Mus musculus: one gene and its partners. The protein of the gene in region 1 purifies or fractionates together with the protein of each later gene. This does not show direct contact. Links are inferred from orthologs where the notes say so. Each region holds a gene or a part of one and is shown in the gene's direction. Other genes may lie near its edges.

What was found.
Region 2: the proteins of Hnrnpr (region 1) and Hnrnph1 fractionate together in Homo sapiens (co-fractionation; 3 studies listed by BioGRID and IntAct, with this or other methods). This does not show direct contact. The link is inferred for Mus musculus from reciprocal best matches to the Homo sapiens genes HNRNPR and HNRNPH1.
Region 3: the proteins of Hnrnpr (region 1) and Snrnp70 purify together in Homo sapiens (affinity purification with mass spectrometry; 3 studies listed by BioGRID and IntAct, with this or other methods). This does not show direct contact. The link is inferred for Mus musculus from reciprocal best matches to the Homo sapiens genes HNRNPR and SNRNP70.
Region 4: the proteins of Hnrnpr (region 1) and Dhx9 fractionate together in Homo sapiens (co-fractionation; 3 studies listed by BioGRID and IntAct, with this or other methods). This does not show direct contact. The link is inferred for Mus musculus from reciprocal best matches to the Homo sapiens genes HNRNPR and DHX9.

What each region holds. Positions count from the first base shown.
Region 1 is NC_000070.6:136,317,043-136,321,874, forward strand, and holds part of Hnrnpr (heterogeneous nuclear ribonucleoprotein R), read left to right. Parts: intron 1-41; coding exon 42-149; intron 150-2,351; coding exon 2,352-2,465; intron 2,466-4,832. UniProt on the Homo sapiens protein: Component of ribonucleosomes, which are complexes of at least 20 other different heterogeneous nuclear ribonucleoproteins (hnRNP). hnRNP play an important role in processing of precursor mRNA in the nucleus.
Region 2 is NC_000077.6:50,375,824-50,381,337, forward strand, and holds the start of Hnrnph1 (heterogeneous nuclear ribonucleoprotein H), read left to right. Parts: upstream 1-1,854; 5' UTR 1,855-1,979; exon of another isoform or gene 1,980-2,035; intron 2,036-2,412; exon of another isoform or gene 2,413-2,467; 5' UTR 2,468-2,507; coding exon 2,508-2,604; intron 2,605-3,644; coding exon 3,645-3,800; intron 3,801-3,997; coding exon 3,998-4,141; intron 4,142-5,514. UniProt on the Homo sapiens protein: This protein is a component of the heterogeneous nuclear ribonucleoprotein (hnRNP) complexes which provide the substrate for the processing events that pre-mRNAs undergo before becoming functional, translatable mRNAs in the cytoplasm.
Region 3 is NC_000073.6:45,377,774-45,382,605, reverse strand, and holds part of Snrnp70 (U1 small nuclear ribonucleoprotein 70 kDa), read left to right. Parts: exon of another isoform or gene 1-1,787; coding exon 1,788-1,889; intron 1,890-1,987; coding exon of another isoform or gene 1,988-2,088; exon of another isoform or gene 2,089-2,110; intron 2,111-2,445; exon of another isoform or gene 2,446-2,529; intron 2,530-3,271; exon of another isoform or gene 3,272-3,797; intron 3,798-4,832. UniProt on the Homo sapiens protein: Component of the spliceosomal U1 snRNP, which is essential for recognition of the pre-mRNA 5' splice-site and the subsequent assembly of the spliceosome. SNRNP70 binds to the loop I region of U1-snRNA.
Region 4 is NC_000067.6:153,456,076-153,460,907, reverse strand, and holds part of Dhx9 (ATP-dependent RNA helicase A), read left to right. Parts: intron 1-518; coding exon 519-630; intron 631-1,188; coding exon 1,189-1,350; intron 1,351-1,442; coding exon 1,443-1,570; intron 1,571-2,171; exon of another isoform or gene 2,172-2,244; intron 2,245-2,418; coding exon 2,419-2,648; intron 2,649-2,739; coding exon 2,740-2,855; intron 2,856-3,176; coding exon 3,177-3,377; intron 3,378-4,154; coding exon 4,155-4,832. UniProt on the Homo sapiens protein: Multifunctional ATP-dependent nucleic acid helicase that unwinds DNA and RNA in a 3' to 5' direction and that plays important roles in many processes, such as DNA replication, transcriptional activation, post-transcriptional RNA regulation, mRNA translation and RNA-mediated gene silencing.

The sequences.
Region 1 (4,832 bases):
TTCCTGGTAATTCTTCCTTTTGAATTGCTTGCATCTTTTAGAACAAAAGTGCATTTTTATGTGGAGTTATGAAGACCTACAGGCAAAGAGAGAAACAAGGCAGCAAGGTACAAGAGTCCACGAAAGGGCCCGATGAAGCAAAAATCAAGGTAAAAGAGTCACAGTATGGGAATGTCTAGTTCAGACTCTTCCTTGATCCTCAGTCTTCTGACAAAGAGGGAGGGGCATGTTTATTATTGCTTTATAAGCACTCTTTTATATATATATATATATATTTTGTTTGGTACAGGGTACCATTATGTAGCTCAAACTGGCCTGGAACTCATTTTATAGCCCAGACTGGTTCCCAACAAGGTGATCCTGCCTCAGCCTACTGAGTGCTGAAGTGAAAGGCCTTAGGGAAGAGCTGTGGTATTCTAACTGCTTTCCTCCTTTTGAATTTTCTCTGACCTCAGTGTATTTATAAACCGGCTTTGACCTTTTTTTTTTTTTTTTTTTTTTTTTTTTTTTTTTTGGTTTTTCAAGACAGGGTTTCTCTGTATAGCCCTGGCTGGAACTCACTTTGTAGACCAGGCTGGCCTCGAACTCAGAAATCCGCCTGCCTCCGCCTCCCAAGTGCTGGGATTAAAGGCGTGCGCCACCACTGCCCGGCTGGCTTTGACCTTTTTTGATTTTATAAAATGGTTTTGGTTTTGCCTACCTCCTTAAGTTGTGAAGATTAGATGAATTCATATGTAAAGTAACTACCTTCCCCGGTCATTATTATTATTATTAACTTAGATAAATTGCTTTGAAAGTCAAAAAGGCTTTTCCTAAAAGACCTTGTTAAAGGGGTTTTGTCAAGGTTGCAGTGGTGGGGACCTAATCCAGGGCTTTACACATGCTAATCAAGTGCTCTATCCTAAGCTGTCCTTAAAGATTTAATTGGAATGGTATTGAGTTTTAGAGTTGTTTGCCCTGGTGACTCAGGCTTGGGTATAACTAACTTTGTAAAGTGCCTTTATACTTTTCTCCTCCATTCTCATCTGTTTATAAACTGATCTAGCCCCATTCTTAAACAAATGCCAAACTACTGTGTAACAACCCTGATTGGCTGACTAACCCCCTTCCCCTGGTAGAAAAATGGAAGGTTCAAGACATTCTTCCCTGTGGAATCCCAGGGTTAACTAACTCTAACAAACATGAATCTGCTGGTGCTCTTTGTAATTACATACCTAACATGCAGAGCCCTTCTCTTTCTTGGTAGAGTGCATATTTTGTTTGCCAACAAAAGATATTCTATAGACCTTTCATATGAAATTTCATACGAATGTTATCTATCGTGCAAGCTTTTTGAGGGCAAGAACATTGTTTCTGTGACCTCTGTTAGTTAGTGTTAGTGAGGTGGAATCAAATAATGATTCTTTTTGTTTTGTTTTTCGAGACAGGGTTTCTCTGTGTAGCCCTGGCTGTCCTGGAACTCACTTTGTAGATCAGGCTGGCCTCGAACTCAGAAATCCGCCTGCCTCTCCTCCCGAGTGCTGGGATTAAAGGCATGCGCCACCATGCCCGGCTCTCAAATAATGATTCATGTTTTGAAATCAGAGTATATTTATTTGGAAGTTTCCAAATTTAGAGTATCCTGTGAGATATTCCAGTTGTGTTGAGCTTGTAGCTTGGTAAGAGTATGAAGCAGACAAATGGAGTAGTTAAGGGCAGTTGTGGGCTGCCATGTGTACTGGGAACCAAACTCCGAAGGTCTGCAAGAGCAGCAGGTGCGCTTTAGTTCAGAGCCATCTCTCCAGCCGTCCTCTTTTAAATAGTTTACTCTTGTTTTTAATTATATGTATATGTGTTTGTTTGAGTGTGGGTTTGTATGCAGGACTACAGTGTCTATGGAGGCCAGAAGAGGTATTGGACCCCCTGGACCTGGAGTTACAGACAGTTAATAATGAGACATTTCACATGTGTGCTGTGAACTAAACTTGTGCCCTCTGCAGTAAACTCTTAACTGCTAAGCTATTTCTCTAGCCCCTCACTTTTATTTTTCTTTTTTTCGGGGGGTAGCTTCAGACAGGGTTTTTCTGTGTGGCCCTGGCTGTCCTGGAACTCACTGAGTAGATCAGGCTGGTCTTAAACTTAAAGATCTGCCTACCTCTGTTTCCCAGGTATTGGGATTAAAGTCATGCACGACTGCTGCCTGGCCCCATCTCTGGGGTTTATGTGGCACTGCAGGTAGAATCTGGTGCCTCGTGCATGCATGCTTTATTTCCAGCTGCTCCTTTTTAATTCATCATAAAATGCATTTCAAAGATGTGACAGTTTGTGTGTGTGTTTGTACTTTCAAGTTTAACATGTGTAATTATCTCTAGGCCTTGCTTGAGAGGACTGGTTATACTTTGGATGTGACCACGGGACAGAGGAAGTATGGCGGTCCCCCACCAGACAGTGTGTACTCGGGTGTGCAGCCTGGGATTGGGACAGAGGTAAGTGCTTTTAGCCCTTTGTGGGAAAATCTTTCCAATCTATTAACTGTATAATCCAGCTTATGATGTGGGTAAAGTACTTGATTACTGTCAAAGTGTGGCTAGTGTTATATTGGTAGTATCTATGTGTATTTGTGTCATTATTAGCAAGGATAACTGACCTTGGTTTAGAAATCTTTTTTTTCAAGATTTGTTTATTTTGTATATATGAGTATACTGTAGCTGTCTTCAGACACACCAGAAGAGGGCATGAGATCCCATTACAGATGGTTGTGAGCCACCATGTGGTTTCTGGGAATTAAACTCAGGACCTCTGGAAGAGCAGTCAGTGCTCTTAACCACTGAGCCATCTTTCCAGCCGGATGCAGTTGTTTTTAATTTTGCAGAATTTTAAAATTTTTTGTGCTAGGGATTGAGTTGGGGCCTCATTCATTCTGAGCATGTGTTCTGCCTCTATGCCATTCTTCTGACCTAAATCTTTCATTTGATGTGATATCTTAGTATGTAGCCCAGACTACCTTGACGATGGGGCCTCCCTTCTGAGTGTTGGGGTTGTAGGCATGTGCTATTGGACTCAGCTCATATTTATTTTATTTTAAGACAAAGTCTTATATGTAGCTTTTTCTGGCCTAAAGTACTCTGTGAAGATCAGGCTTGCCTTGAACAATTGGTAATCGGGTGGCCTCTTGAATGCTGGGGTTGTGCTGGGGTGAGTCATCATGTCTCAATCATTTGCGTTTTGTAATGTCAGTACTTTGCTTTCTTTCAACACAAAATGCACTTAGAAATGACTGAGAAATATTCTGACTGGGAGGGAATCCCATGAAGGAGAGTGTAGATTAGAATCGAGAGAGAGAGAGAGAGAGAGAGAGAGAGAGTCAGAGAGAGTCAGAGAGAGAGTGAGAGAGAGAGAGAAAGTGGGAAAGTGAGTGACTCTTAGGCTTTTTTAAAAGTTTCTCTCTGGACTTTTTTTTTCCCCCTTTTCCACTGTGCATTCCTGGCAATCCTGGAACTCCCTCTGTAGTCTAGGCTGGCCTGGCCTAGACCTCAGAGATAGCTCCTGCTTCTGTTTCCCAAATGCTAGGGTAAGAGGAGTGCTCTACTACCATCCGAGTGCCTTTCTACTTTTGGGTTGTTGTTGTTGTTTAAGAAAGAGTTTTATGTAGCTCAAGTTGTCCTAGAACTAGCTAACTTACAATTTTCCTGCTGGCACCACCAAAGAGCTGAGATGATAAGTTTATTCCACAGCAGTTTATGTAGTGCTGAGGGTCCAACCCCGATTTCCTGTGTGCTCAGCAAGCACCCTGCTCCTTGCGTCCCTCCCACACCCTGCAGCCCTGTACACCTCCCTCTCTCCCTAGTGTTGTAGCACTCTTGGATCCTTAAATGGAGAAACTAGGTGACAAAAAGTCAGTTATGCAGGGACTTTTTCTGATTGGATGGTTTCATTGTCTATATTTAGTGCCAGGAACACAGTGCACAGTATTTGATGAGTTTTTTAAAAACAAAAGAAGTTGTGGCCTTTTTGTAACAAATTTAAGCTAGCTTGAGTGGTACAGGATTTATTTATTTATTTATTTATTTATTTATTTATTTATTTATTTATTTTGAGATGGGATCTCCTTTGGAGTGTGTGATAGAGGATGTGTGTGTGTGAGTATAGGCATGTGGAGGGTGGGGTGAAGGCTTTTGTTCTCCCACTGTATGTTCTGGGGACAGAAATCAGATTATCAGGATGTGTGACAAGTGTACTTTGCTGGGTCTCATAGTCTATGACTGACTTGAACTTGTTGTATAGCCTCTCCCTCCCACGCTGAGGTTCCAGGCATTGTAGGAGTCTCCTGAGCATCGGAGTGGGAGTGAGGCTGAAGGGGGTAGCTCCTCAGATAGTCGGTGTCCGCTCTTTATTTGGGGAGTGTTACTGTGAGATTTGAGAGTTTTAGGTTGACTATTAGAGTTACAAGAAAAAAAATTTACTCCCATTTGAACAGTTTTTAAGGAGAGTGATGATTTTAGACTATTATAAATTGTATGCTCAAAAAACTAAAACTTTTCAAATGATCAGGAGCAAAGATCATATTTTTGTTTGTTTGTAAATGGATAAGCAAAGATGACTGTAGTAACCATTAGGAAAAAAAAGTGTGTGTATGTGTTTGCTGTGTAGGTGCTTGTATAGAGATTAGAGGACAACTTTGTGGAGTTGGTTCTTTTTTCCCACCCTTACATGGGTTTGAGGTTTGAACTTAGGTCACCAGGCTTGTGTGGAAAGCATCTTTACTTGCTGAGCTATCTCACCAGTCCCAGTATCAGCTTTAAGGTCTGTCTTCTCTTTGTATAGTAAGGTTGTTGCCTTTTGTTCTTGTAACC
Region 2 (5,514 bases), on another chromosome or scaffold:
TAGGAATGTGGTTGTGTTGTCAGAAGGGAAACATTTCCCCCCCTTCAGGTGAGAGACCTGGATTGCTAAGTTGCAGTGACTCTCCCATCTCAGCATCTCAAGTAGATGGGACTACAGGCACATTACTGTGCAAAGTGAAAAAAGATGATTCAAACAAAAAACGGTGTGTGTGTGTGAAAATATAGTTGAGTGGTAGGACTGGTTTGCTCAAAGCCTTTCTAGTATGCATTGCTCTTCCCATACATCTAACCAACGATCGCAGGTCATCTAATAAGTATAGGGCTCTCAAATGGTGTGAATTAGCTAAAGAAGAGTAATCTTAGTTTCTTGGTAATCAATCTCATGTCCCAAGACCATGTAGGGGGAAATATACATGTTAAGCAAGCTCTCTACCACTACTATTTCTCTTGTCTTCTTTTTGAGACAGGCTTTCAGTAAATTTCCCAGGCTGCCTTGAACGCACTCTGTTGCTCAGGCAAGTCTTGAAGTTGCAGTTCTCCTCGGCTGGGCTTGTGTTCTTGCCTTTCACCCACCTCCTGGCCTGGAGACTTGGGAGTTCTCACTTTTCGATGATCTAAACTAGTGTTTTCTGTCTCCTCTAGATAGATCCTTTGCAGGTGAGGTCATGTGCAGTTATTCTCCCAGCCTGTCTCATCCGAGTTTCCCTTACACCTGAAGGTTCACGTTACACAGCTCCTGTTGCTCTCTTGAAGTCTTGTGATGCCCTTCTACTTAACACCCTTGCGCAGACTTAAAAGGTCTGAGTTCTGCACGCAGTCTCTGCACCTTTCCTTTGATGACACCCCCCCCTTTTAAAAAACAAACTGTTCAAACTGGATTTAGCCTCCTCAATGTTGCACTTGAAAGAAAAGCGTATTTTTGCCTGTAACCTCTTGTGATGGCTTTCAGAGGCTTACCAATTGTGGTACCTACCGTGGCACCGCCCAAACAATAACTCTTATTGTTAATTTCTAGGGTAGGTCAGTCAGATTCGGAGAAACTCGGGACATCATCCGTATTCTGCTATGTTGCAGGAATTCTCTTAAACGTCACCCATTTACCTCTGTAAGGGCACACGGGATGACCCGGGCGTGTCTCCACCTTGGGAGAGGCCCGTTGGTCGGTCGGGCGCAGCGCTCTGGGGCTGCGTCCTTCGCGCCCCTGGCAGTCTCAGCCTTCCCTCGCGAGGCGCCGCACACCGAGCGCCTCTCGTGCAAGGGCGAGGGGTTCGTAGAGTGCGAGTCCGTTAGGCAAAGTGGGGTACAGGACTAGCTCGGGCACTGGCAGCCCATGTGGGTCGGGACTGACCCCCTAAAGCGGGCAGGTAAGGGGACTGGTCCCAGGCGCCCCACGGAGATCGGGGATTTGGGCGCAGGGGGCGGGGCGGTACCCAGAGGAGGTTTGGCACAACCCGGCCCTCCAGCTCCTACGCGTTCTGAGGAGAAAGGGCATGGCTTCCTTTTCTTCGTGGTGTCTTTCAAAACCGACAGGAGCGCGGATGAAAAGCTGCGGATTAAGGGTAGAACTACCGCCCCTGCAAACCTGAACGAACTCTGGATTACTACCCAGTCCCTGCGGGGAGCTGATTAGCGCCATTCCCCTCCCCCACTCCGGCGGGTAGGTCTAGAGAACGGTTTGAAGGTAGCCGCATGCGCATTAAGTAAAACAAGAAACCGCTGAGACGCCAAGCGCAATAATTGCAAAAAGGCGCAGGCGCAGAAAGAAAAAAAAAAAACAACCAAAAACACCTCGGTCAGTTTATGAAGAGGGCTGAGCCCAAACGCATGCGTGTAATAATAGGACGGCGGGAGAGAGCTCGGGGTTTCTTAATACGCATGCGTCCAATCTCTCTGTGACGCAAGTGGGGCGGGGCCGGCAACAGGGTGCGCGTGCGCAGAGCTTGCTGGAAGGGCTTTATTTAGCCTGCGCAGGCGCCCGCTTATCATTTCTCCTCAGCCACGCCGAGGCTTTTTGTGGAGGTGAGTGACTTTCCGTCTTCGACTGCTGCCCGAGCTCTCCACGGACACCTCTTTGGGTGACGATTGCTTGTCGCTGAGCTTAGGTTCTAACCTGAGGGGCCGTGGCAGGCGCAGGCTGCCCCTGGGAGCCGCGAGTGTCTCGCCGGCGTGGCAGCGCCGCCTAGGCCTGCAGGCCGCGCCGCTTTCTATTGTGTGAGATGTCTGAGGAGGCGGAGCGGAAGCGGCGGCCGCCATTTCCTCGTCTCAACCGTGGCTGTGGGCCAGGGTCTTATTAGCTTGGCGCCTCGGCCCTGGGCGCACTGGGCGGCTTTGGGCATCGGGTCGCTAGCCGAGGCCGGGTTGCATGCTTGAGTCTCCGGGGCCCAGGCATCCTGACGGGCGGGACTCGCATGGCGGCGCCCGGTGCCCGCTGTGCGCCGTGAAGTGGGAGGGCCATTTAAATGCCTGTTTTCTCAGACGCGTTCCTGACCCCCACCCCCACCCCGCAGCCCCGCAATCTGTGTGGACGCCAGGACCACCGAAGGGACGATGATGCTGGGAGCAGAAGGCGGAGAGGGCTTCGTGGTGAAGGTCCGGGGCTTGCCCTGGTCCTGCTCCGCGGATGAAGTGCAGCGCTTTTTTTCTGGTGAGTTGAGGCGGGAGTTGTCAGTGGGGCCCGCGGCTGGGCCGGGCCGGGCCGGGTTGGGGCGGGGCGGGTCTCCCGGGCGCCCCCTAGCGAGTCGCGGCCACCAGCGGTTTCCCCAGGCGGCTCGCGCTCTGTTGGCCGCTGTTACGCAATGGTAATTGCGAAATCCGCACCCCCCCCAACCCCCTTGGGGATGCTGGTGGCCCTGCTGAATTTGTTTTCTTTTAAAACTTTTTCTGTCTCTATGCATCAATCTGTGCATTCTGGAGTAGTCTAAGAAAAATTTAAGTAGGGAAAGATGTGATTTCTTCTCAAGTCGTGTAAGGTTTTGTAAAAAGGTACTTGTAGTGTTGACCTTACCATCTGAATTTAGCTGTGGTAACAGAAAACGATCTGTAAATCGAGCCCCAAGTATACTGCAAGCAATTGCAGGGGGCCGTTGCCGTCCGGGTTTGAGTTGAACTGCAGCTTGGAGCCTTTAGTTGTTAACATTGGTCCCTTTTCGGATGAATATTGAGCTGGAGTTTGGATTTGAATGAAATTGTTATGTGGTTGCTGATAGAGGGAAGCTGACATGGTACCCAAACAAGAAAATGCTGTGAAGTCACCAGATCCAGATGAGATTATTCTGAGATAGTGTACCAAGAGATGGTTAATGGAAACTTAGAGGCAAGGTGGTAGCTTCATTTGAACTTTTTTTTTTTTTTTTTTCGAGACAGGGTTTCTCTGTGTAGCTCTGGCTGTCCTGGAACTCTGTAGACCAGGCTGGCCTCGAAATCAGAAATCCGCCTGCCTCTGCCTCCCCAGTGCTGGGATTAAACGCGTGCGTCACCACTGCCCTGCTCCATTTGAACTATTTTTGAGCATTGAGTTACCTTGTTGGACTAGGAATATATCCTGTATATGAGATAATTTGATCGTGTTCTGCTTGGTCAGTCTTTTTAGGCATGTTTTTTTTTTTTTGGTGTGTGTGATGACAGGAATATGCATTTTATCTGTAGTGGTTTTAAATCCTGTATTAAGCGTTGTTTTCTTTTCAGACTGCAAAATTCAAAATGGGGCTCAAGGTATTCGTTTCATCTACACCAGAGAAGGCAGACCAAGTGGCGAGGCTTTTGTTGAACTTGAATCAGAAGATGAAGTCAAATTGGCCTTGAAAAAAGACAGAGAAACTATGGGACACAGATATGTTGAAGGTTTGATTTACATTGCCCTAGTAACAGTAAACGTTTAAACACATAGAGGTCTTACCCCTTCTGAATTTTAGGTATTTGACCGCATGGAAATGGTCATCTAAGGGAGTTTATGGCAGCTCTTCCTAGTTATCTAAAAGCCCAGGAAATCTGAACTTTGTTCTCCAACTTAATTGACTAATTCTAAGCACCTCTTTCAGTATTCAAGTCAAACAACGTTGAAATGGATTGGGTGTTGAAGCATACTGGTCCAAATAGTCCTGACACAGCCAATGATGGCTTTGTACGGCTTAGAGGACTCCCTTTTGGATGTAGCAAGGAAGAAATTGTTCAGTTCTTCTCAGGTATGTAGTCCTGTTTGTTGCTGAGCAGTGAGGTATGGCAGCTTCTGGCGACATGAATTAGTATTAGTAGACCTTTAAAAAGTTGAATAGTCTAGGTACTTAAAGTAGGCTGTTGAATATATGTTGTTGAATTCACATTTTCTTCCTGGAGACCTTCAAATAACTTAAGCCCATCTTAAAGGTGGAAATTAGAAGTATTTCCAAAGTGTTAACTTTGCCTATATTTAGTATTGTAGTTCAGAGTAGACCTTTGAGGATTCTACTCAGCCATCTTAACTTCCTCATATTGCTGTTTAGCAAAGTACTTCAAGTTAAAGGTAAGCTCTTTTAACATTAGATTAGTGTGAGTCTAGATTGTTACAGTTTATGGTGTTATAACTTATTTTCCGTCATGGGACCAGAAATATTTTAGCTAGTGTAATTCTCTGTATGAAAATTGTTATGAAAGGAACTTGGCTTAGGTAGCCTATTAGAAGTCAAAAAAGTAAATTGTAGCAAGTGTAGGTTGAATGCTTGTAGTCTCAATATGAAAGCAGTATAGAAGTTTTTGAAGTTGTTCTGGGCCTAAAGTATTTGAATGTTTTTATGTTGAAGAGCTGATAGGATTTGCATGCTTAGCAGAATGTTAAATCTTGTATATTTTAAGTACTATTAATACTCTTGATGACATAGACAGAATTAATCAAATATCTTAATAGTTTTTAGCATAGTATGTATTAGAACTTTGACTAGAACTTTATATATGTATCAATTTGTAATATTTTATAGTTTGAAATCAAGTCTGTTTTGTTTTATCTAAATTGGTGAGAATTGAATGCTATCTGTCAACGTTAAATATGAACATAATTTCATATCTTCTAGGAAAGTGCTTTAAGGCCTTTTTGTAAGCTTGGGAATGTATCCACGGGAAGGATTTTTCATAGACGGAATTTCCAGAAGTGAATCATACTACTGTTAGAACATAAGAGTGCATGATTGCTTTGTAGATAGTTATTGTTGAAAGTTTAGTTTGTATGTTTGTCAATTATGATTTTTAAAATGTTTTCAATTTTTACATAAACTGTTTAAATGTGTAATTTTAAAATTGAAGTTCCAATAACTTAAAAAGAATTGAAATATATGAGGTTAAAAGGTTTCTTATTTTACTTAAATTGTTATTTTAATGCTTAAAAAATTTAAAGTTCTTGTATAATTCTATTAAGATGCATAGATTAAAATGTTTTTAATTGTTGAATTCTTAATGCACCCTCTGGAGTATAACACTTTTTTTTCTTTACTGTATATACTATGCCTTGGGTGTGTTAAGAATTGAGTTATACTCTTTATAGTGGAACTTCTTATTATTGCAATGCATATTTTAAGAGTACTTGTTG
Region 3 (4,832 bases), on another chromosome or scaffold:
GGTTCAGGGTATGGGAGGGGTGGAGCAGGCTTTAAAACAACTAAAGGTGTGGTAGTTTTTACTAAATCTGCACAGAGGTGGAAGAGAGGGAAAGAGAGAGAGAGAAGCCTAGAATGACACAATTACATGGTCTTGCTGTTTTCTGGGTTGGACCTCTCCCGGGGTTTGGGATGGGGAACCTGAGCAGGGTTCCTGTATTGACTGACCCTCTCAAGCTGTTCTGGGGTTAGGGGCCGATCGGCCCCTCCTGGAGCATGGGGAGCATTCTTTTGGATCCCAGGTGTATCCCCTGTGTACTGGCCTCAGGCCTGTTGCCACTAGTGGGAGGGCATATGGATCCAGGTGGAAAGCCTGACCCCAGGACTGAGTGCTGGGCCTGTACCTAGTGGAGCGTAACTGAGGCAGTGGTGAGCAGTAGGTGCTTTTGAGGCCTTGAGGCCCACTGTTTAGGTTGGGCAGGATAGATAGATCCAGGTCTCCCAGCCCGGGCGCAAACATTCCTCTGACATTCAGAGGCTCCCTTTTTTCCTTCATCCACTTGTCTCTAGATGATGTGGGAAATGTAGTGTCTCCCTCTCAGGGTTCCCTGTAGCTTTAGTTGCCCCTGTGGTGGTGGGTGTGGGGTTGTGTGAGTGTTCAGGTAAGCTTGGGGTCTCCAGGTAAGCAGTCCCGTGTCCCAACCCCCACCCCACCCCCGGGAAGCCCGCCTCCTCGCCAGGCCCCCAGGAGTTGCCGGCCCCCCCCATCCCGCTCGGTTTGGACACCCGCAAGGCCGGCATCGGTAAATGGCACCTTTTTCTCTTCCTCTGGTTGTTATTGGGGGGGAGTGGGCAGGGGTGGGGCAGGGTATTGTGGTTGGTGAGCACAGCCCCTTAGGCCAGGGCTGGGACCTGGACAGGGACTTTTTGGCCTTCTTAACAGCCCTGCCTGATCACAGGCCTGGGCTCTGGGCCTTCCCACTATGTCTTATGCTCCTCAACTTCCCTGAGGGTTCAGGCAGGGCTGCATGCCCTGCTGGCCATTGACCTCGGCTTGGAGGACAGAGCTGGCCAGGCTAGGTGGTGGCAGGGTCAGTCGGCTCAGGTAAGGCAGGGATTTTGAGTAGCACGGTACATGTCCCTTTGAGTCCAGCCAGGGTCCTTGGAGGTCCCTGGGGAGCTCAGCACCCACCTATATCCCTGCCAGTTCCTGAAGGTCTTTCCACTCCTGTTCATTTCTGTTCTGATGTCTCTTTCCTCACACTGACCTCCCCTATAAAAACACACAGAAAAACAAAAACAAAAAAACAAAAAAATAATCTGGTGTGGTCTGGATGTGGTGGGGCCCAGTGGGCCTCCTGCCTCAGCATGGTGTCTAGGGTGCATGCCTGGGTGTGGAGGAGCCTAGCCAGCCTCCTGCCCAGCATGGTGTCTAGGGTGCATGCCTGGGTGTGGAGGAGCCCTCCCCACAGCAGAGGCCAGCATTCAGCTAACCTCCAGTTTCTTTGCAGCAATTTGGCCGCCCTGGCAGGAGGGGGCTGCTCCATCATGTGAAAGCTGGGGGAGGCCAGAGTAAATGTTTTACCCCCCCAATAGCACTTGGGGGTGCCAAAAAGGAATCAAGCACCGGATGGAGCAGGCCCTTCAGGGTGGGGAGAGGGCGGTCTGGCTGTTGGTTGCCTGGCTGACTGGTGGGAGTGTGAGTGTATGTGTGCAGATGGGGTTTGAGGGGCAGGGATGCTGTTGTATGGAGCCTTGTCTGACTAGAGGACCTTCTGGGGAATTCCCCCTCCCCCACATCTGTTGCAGCCGCTTACAAGCACGCAGATGGCAAGAAGATAGATGGCAGGAGGGTCCTCGTGGATGTGGAGAGGGGCCGGACTGTGAAGGGCTGGAGGCCCCGGCGCCTAGGTGAGTGCAGTATTCCTTCTGGGTGCCTGGGCCTGTGATTAGAGATTATTCTTCCTTCAGTCTCCCCAACCCATACGCCTGTTCCTCTCCATTTCCAGCTTGTCTTCTCATCATCTTCATGGCTTTGGACACTGGTGCACACAGACACCTACACATGAGCACCCAAGCATACCCTGGTCTTTCCTGCATGAGTGATTGACCAGCAGCAGTTCTTGTGCAGTGTGGGTAACTTCAGCACTGACCTCAGCCACCTTATGCCCATATACTTGGTATCATGGGCTGGGTTGGAGGGTATCACTGGCTCTAGCTTTGCTCTTGCTCTCACTGAGTGGCTTCTTCATTCACTCTCTAGCTGAGTCACCAGCCCAATTCCTGGCTTCACATCTGAAGCAAGAAAGCAGCAGCCTGTGCTCTGACCTTGCATCTGACCCTCCTGGCCTTTCTGGTGGTTGTGGGCTGTCTCCATGGGGGTTGTTGTGGCAAGTCTTGAAATATATCTGAGGGTCTTAAAGCATAAGGAATAGAGGTGCCTACTGATGCCAGGCTCTTGTTTCAGTCCCATGATTGTGATATCATCAATAGATCCTCACCAAGACCTTGAGACTGGACTTGGAGAGTTTGCTGCTCACTCTGTCAACAGGTGTCACTCTCTAAGCTATTTGCTGATGCCTCAAATTAGGCCCTGGCTGGGTTTAGGTCTTTTGTGTGAGTAGCTTCACTCTGTCTTAGGCAGTATTGCCTGGCTCTGCTTTCACCTGTGCACCTGTGCAGAGGTGACCTACCATCCCAACCCCCAGGGACCTCCAAGTCTTTTATTTATTTATTTATTTATTTATTTATTTTAAAGATTTATTTATTGTTATATGTAAGTACACTGTAGCTGACTTCAGACACTCCAGAAGAGGGCGTCAGATCTCATTACAGATGGTTGTGAGCCACCATGTGGTTGCTGGGATTTGAACTCAGGACTTTCGGAAGAGCAGTCAATGTTCTTAACCACTGAGCCATCTCTCCAGCCCCTTTTTTCTTTTTTAAAAAAGGTGGATCCTTTAGGCTGACTGCTGTGCTGAATGAAGTCTCAGAAACAAGACAGTTGTTGTGGTTACAGATTTGTTGATATTAATATAGTAAGGTATGAGCCCGCTTCACTCCCATGGACAGACACTTAGCCTAGGTGAGACTTTGGGCAGCATTTTTGCCCATGTGCATAAAGGTATTTGTTACTATTTGTGTGAGGATCTGAGATATGGTCTTAACTGTGAAGCCCAGGGTAGCCTCAGGCTCTTGGTGATCCTCCTGCCTCAACCTTTAATGAACAAGATGTTTGTTTTCTCTCAGTTTCTGAAGTTTCAGACTGAGTTAACTATTTCTGTTGCTTTTAGACTTGTGACAGTTAGATATGAAGAGTGATGGAGGGACGGAGTCTACTTAGGGTGCAGGAAGTGAGTGTTTATTTTGAAAACTGTTGACATTGTAGCTGTCTTTGGCCACTTTGTGGGTTCTTTTTTCAACCCTATTCTTCCACCCTTTCATCTCTGTAATACATAAGAGAGGAGGGGGAAAAGAATAGAGAGGAGTGGAAAGAGACCCCTGAATACAATCGGATTGAAAAGGAGACTACCTGCAGATTAGGGGCATTGAGTTCCTTGGGGCAAGTTTGATCTTCACCATTAGGATATGTAATTTCTTCTTGTTGTCTCTTATTTGTACCTGACTACTTAAGAAACCAACAACCTACCCTCTTGTACAATCCAGGATGCGTATACCCTCTGAAAAGTTCTCAGAATTCCAAATGCCACACAATCACAGTAACTATCCGCAGCTGGCAAAACCATGCCTCTTATAGGCATGAAGCAAACCCGCTGATTCAAAGCAGTCCCATATGCCCACACCTGGGATGAAAACAAAAACATGTTCTTATAATATTTCTGTGGGTTTTTTTGGTTTTTTCGAGATAGGGTTTCTCTATGTAGCCTGGCTGTCCTGGAACTCACTCTGTAGACCAGGCTGGCCTCAGAAATCTGCCTGCCTCTGCCTCCCGAGTGCTGGGATTAAAGGCGTGCGCCACCACTGCGCAGCTGTTTCCTGTTTTTTTTGTTTGTTTGTTTTGTTTTGTTTTTTTTAAGCAACCCAAATTACAGAACTCTTACTATAGACATTTTCTTGTATTGATAATGGCCTAGCTCATTGTTAGACTGTGATCCAGCAGCTGGAAGTCTGGGTCCTGCTTTGCAGTAGTCCAACCTGTTATCTATACCTAGTTTAACAGCCTAGCATGTGGCTGACCTCTTCGCTTTGCCTGTGCTCCTGTGTGAAACACAGCCCCACCTCACTAAACCTTCAGGTGGATGGTGCAGGAAACCACCACAGGCAGATGGGATTCTGAGACATGACCCTCCTTGCCAAGTCACTGGGGCAAGTGGCTCATTAGTAGATCCCTGTCTGAAAGATAAGACTGTCACCTGCTCCCTTGTGCTATTGGTTGGGTGAAAATCACCTTTATAGACCACGTATTGAATCTGCAAGTTTGAAGTATTCGTGGCACATCAGAATCTGGGGAGGTGTGGTAGTGCTTTCTTTGAACAGTTGGGGAGGTACTGATGGCCTCTAACAGTTCGTTGGAGCGTGCTATAGTGTGATGAGCAGGGCAGGGTCTGAGTTGGTGCTTTGAGACTGACAGGGAAGTAGAAGGTACAGAGACAAGGAAGGTGAGCTCACTCCTCAGAAGGTAAATGTTACATGGCTAAGGTGGGGAGCACGAGGCAGCTGAGAAGGCTGGAAATGTAGTGTACCCTGGGAATCTAGGTGTGGCAGGTGTTCCAACTTCTGGGTTTGTTTTGTTTCGTCTCACCACGTAGTGGCTGACCTGAAGCTCACTGTGGGCCAGGCTGCCTCTGCTCCAAAGTATGAGATTAAAGGGGTACAATCCCAAACCTAGCTTCT
Region 4 (4,832 bases), on another chromosome or scaffold:
GGGAGAACTTTGTTAAGCATTATGCAGCTATGCATCATAATTTCCATGAGGAACTTGATGGCTGAAGGGGTGTAAATAAGTCTCATTCAGTAAACATTTAATGAACTAGAGAACACTAACCAGAACATGGATTACTCCTCACCTGTAGTTAATATTTTAAGTGTGTGTGTCTTAGAGGTTGGGCTTTTTGGTTTTTGTTTTTATCTCAAATTTGTTATAAAAGTGGTGTGTAAAAAATAAGGGTATTGAGTTCAGATGGCTCTGCATTTAACTTGGAATCTTGTACTCAACTACTTATAGGATATGTGGGTACTTAATTGCTGATGCTGCTACTGTATCAATGGCTATAGTCCAGTTTGCATAGAACATACTTTTATAGCATCTTTTGTGTTAGGTAATCCAGGGTTTGTTTTTGTTTTTTGACTTGTTTGCTCCAGGCATCATATTTGACTTGTCACAAGATTAAATACTAATACCACATTTATTGACATCACTCACAAATAAGTATTTTCCTACAGAACTTGATGCTTTAGATGCCAATGATGAGTTGACTCCTCTTGGACGAATCCTGGCTAAACTCCCCATTGAACCTCGTTTTGGAAAAATGATGATAATGGGGTGTATTTTCTAGTAAGTTTTTTGTTTTATTTTTAATAGATTGGATTTAATAAAGACAAGATGATCTGGTGTTAAAAAAAATCTTAACTATAGTCATTTATAGTAAATATTAGTTTTGTTATTAATTTTTTTCCAATTTTTTATTAGATACTTTCTTCATTTACATTTCAAATGCTATCTGAAAGTCCCCTGCTCCCTTCCCCACCCACTCCCACTTCTTGGCCCCGGCGTTCCTCCCTACTGAGGCATATACAGTTTGCAATACCAAGGGGCCTCTCTTCCCAATGATGGCGGACTGGACCATCTTCTGCTACATATGCAGCTAGAGACACGAGCTCTGGGGGTACTGGTTAGTTCATATTGTTGTTCCACCTATAGGGTTGCAGACCCCTGCAGCTCCTTGGGTACTTTATCTAGCTCCTCCATTGGGGGCCCTAATATTAGTTTTTATTTTGGAGTTCTTTGATGAGTTCAGGGATAGAGGCAGTATCCTAGCCAACAGAAGATTCAGTCCACATTTGAAGGTCTTCTAGCAAGAAGACTTAAACTGTTATACTACTCTTGTTTCAGTGTGGGAGATGCTGTCTGTACCATCTCTGCTGCTACCTGCTTCCCAGAACCCTTTATCAGCGAAGGAAAACGCCTGGGATACATACACCGGAATTTTGCTGGAAACAGATTTTCTGATCACGTGGCTCTTTTATCAGTATTCCAAGCCTGGGATGATGCTAGGTAGGAGTTTATAGGCAACTCTGTAAGCTATTTGAGTATGTAATTCAGCTTGCTGAGCCTTTGAGAGTGAATGCTTTTTCTCTTTTGTTTAGGATGAGTGGAGAAGAAGCAGAAATACGTTTTTGTGAGCAGAAGAGACTCAATATGGCTACACTGAGAATGACTTGGGAGGCCAAAGTACAGCTTAAAGAGATTCTGATTAACTCTGGATTTCCCGAAGGTATTTATAAACTGGTCATTGTGTCTCATGTTGGTAACTCTAGATCTAGGGGGCTAAAAGCAGAATAAAATCAGTGATAATTCAAAGATAGTCTGAATTAGTTGTAATACCCATTCTCAATTATATAGAAAGAAACTCCCCTAAAAAGATAATTTGTGAGTCATGGCAATAAACTACAGGTACAGGAGAATATTTATGATTCTCACCTATTTGAACATACATATTTTTATATGATGGATGAGACACTTATTCAACTTTGTTTATAGCAAGTTGAGTTCCAACTGGATTAAACTTTGTGAACTGGAGTGGGCTTAACCAGAAACAGAATATATGTTAGTACCAGAAAGTAGAATTTTAAAAGGTTATAGTTGAAGTAGGTTTGTTTGTTTGTTTGTTTGTTTTGGGGGTGTTGTTTGTTTATTTTTGTTTTTTTGTTTTTGAGACAGGGTTTTTCTTTATAGCCCTGGCTGTCCTAGAACTCACTCTGTAGACCAGGCTGGCCTCAAACTCAAAAATCCGCCTGCCTCTGCCTCCGCCTCCCAAGTGCTAGGATTAAAGGTGTGCGCCACTGCCAACTGGCCTAATTAATAAGCACACCACATAGTTCCACTGGGGCTCAAACTCAGGACCTTCTGCATATAAAGCAGATGTGATAACCACTACCCTATGGAACCAGGCATAGGGACTTCTTGAATTGTCGTTTCATCTGCTTTGCTAGTAATAACAGCGAATGCATTTCTCAAAGTTGCTCTGTGTTGGGAAAGTTCTAAGAAAGTTGTCAGAGGGCTTAGAGAGTCATGCTGTTATTTAATTTTTACAAACCATTTTCCCAAAATTTTTTTTTACAGATTGTTTATTGACACAAGTGTTTACTAACACTGGACCAGATAATAATTTGGATGTTGTTATCTCTCTGCTGGCTTTTGGTGTGTACCCCAATGTATGCTATCATAAGGAGAAGAGAAAGATTCTTACCACTGAAGGGCGCAATGCACTTATCCACAAGTCATCTGTGAACTGTCCTTTCAGCAGCCAAGACATGAAGTACCCATCTCCTTTCTTTGTTTTTGGTGAAAAGGTAAGAGGATTAGAGAAGTCTGAAAGATGAGAAATGTAATGTGACTAATTACCTATCAATGTGTGACATTTTACATTTTCTTTATTTACAGATTAGAACCCGAGCCATCTCTGCTAAAGGCATGACCTTAGTGACCCCCTTACAGCTACTTCTCTTTGCCTCCAAGAAAGTCCAGTCGGATGGGCAGATTGTGTTTATAGATGACTGGTAGGGACTTTCAGTCGTAATCTTCAACCTGAATTTTTAGAATAAAGATTTCTTAGAATAATGTGTTTAATAATAGTCCTTAGAGATGTTCTTAGTCTGGTATATTATATACTTAGAACTGGACATTTTTTGAGATGTTTGTATGTTCATACTGAATGTTACTGTTATTACATTCACCTAGGTTTGGGGCATGTCTTAATTTTAATGAAATAGTTAAATTTATGCCACGACTTTAACACATGGGAGGGCAGTTTGTCAGGTATTCATCTGCCTCTTTCTGTATATGTTTCCAGTTTTATGTCTTGTTTTCCTTCATCTTAGGATCAGACTGCAAATATCTCATGAAGCTGCAGCATGCATCACAGCCCTCCGGGCAGCCATGGAAGCTCTGGTTGTTGAAGTGTCCAAACAACCAAATATTATCAGCCAATTGGACCCTGTAAATGAACATATGCTAAACACAATCCGACAGATTTCTAGGCCCTCAGCTGCTGGTATCAACCTTATGATTGGAAGTGTAAGGTGAGTACCTAATTTTATGTGTCTAGCTTTTGCAGACCTAGAATTATTAAAACTAGTTGGTAGAGTCCTTGATACTTAGGTTAAAATTATTTAACATTAAATGTGGGAGTTTAATTTGACTCAGAACAAAAGATTTCCTTTTTTCCTATAAATTAATTTACAATGCCATATGAGAAATAAAGCCCTAAAAAGTAGAACAGATTAAAAGTCTGAAAATGATGTAACCTAGATGAGGCCTTTTCCTCCATACTGTGGAATCTCAGATACAGTATTATTCCTTTCTCAAATAGAAAGGTCAGTGTTTATTTTACTGTCTGCCTTAAGAAATTTCTCTTCAGTGGTCACCCACCTGCATTTATAAGAAAGGAATGTTACAGTGTATGTTTGTGTTCCTTATTTATGCTTATTAGTTTTGAGTATTTCAATTTTAATCACTTTTGAAGTAATAAACACACTATGAAAGATCCTCTGGATCTTTTATCAAGTTATCTGCCTTTAATTTTAGTATAACTGAACTGTTGTTATGATTTATTACTCTGGCTTCTTTAACATGAACAAATACAGGTAGGGAGTCATGAGGAGTTTCCACCAAAGTCATTTGTACAGGAAAACACTTGATAAAAAAAATACTGTGAATTACAGGAACTTTGTGGTCTATGGAAAAATACTGAAAGGGCTGTTTATACCACATGAGTCTCATTATTAGGTCAAAATTAATTCACTGTGATTGCTAATTTAGTGTGCAGAGCACAGCTAAAATGATTTTTCCCCCCCTAGGTACGGCGATGGTCCACGACCTCCCAAGATGGCCCGATATGATAATGGAAGTGGATATAGAAGGGGATATGGTGGGGGAGGATATGGTGGCGGAGGATATGGTGGCGGATACGGTAGTGGAGGCTTTGGAGGAGGCTTTGGAAGTGGGGGAGGCTTTGGAGGAGGCTTTAACAGCGGTGGGGGAGGCTTTGGTAGTGGTGGGGGAGGCTTTGGCAGTGGTGGAGGTGGATTTGGTGGTGGTGGAGGAGGCTTCAGTGGTGGAGGAGGTGGTGGATTTGGTGGTGGCAGAGGAGGTGGAGGTGGCGGATTTGGGGGTAGTGGGGGCTTTGGAAGTGGTGGGGGAGGGTATGGTGTTGGAGGTGGTGGCTATGGAGGAGGTGGTGGTGGTGGCTATGGAGGAGGCAGTGGAGGATATGGAGGTGGGGGAGGGGGTTATGGTGGTGGGGAAGGTTATAGTATAAGCCCCAACTCTTACCGTGGGAATTATGGTGGTGGCGGGGGAGGGTATAGAGGAGGTTCCCAAGGAGGCTACAGAAACAACTTTGGTGGAGACTACAGAGGGTCCAGTGGAGACTACCGGGGATCCGGTGGGGGCTATAGAGGATCTGGAGGATTCCAGCGAAGGGGTTATGGAGGTGGTTATTTTGGACAAGGAAGAGGAGGAGGGGGTGGTGGTGG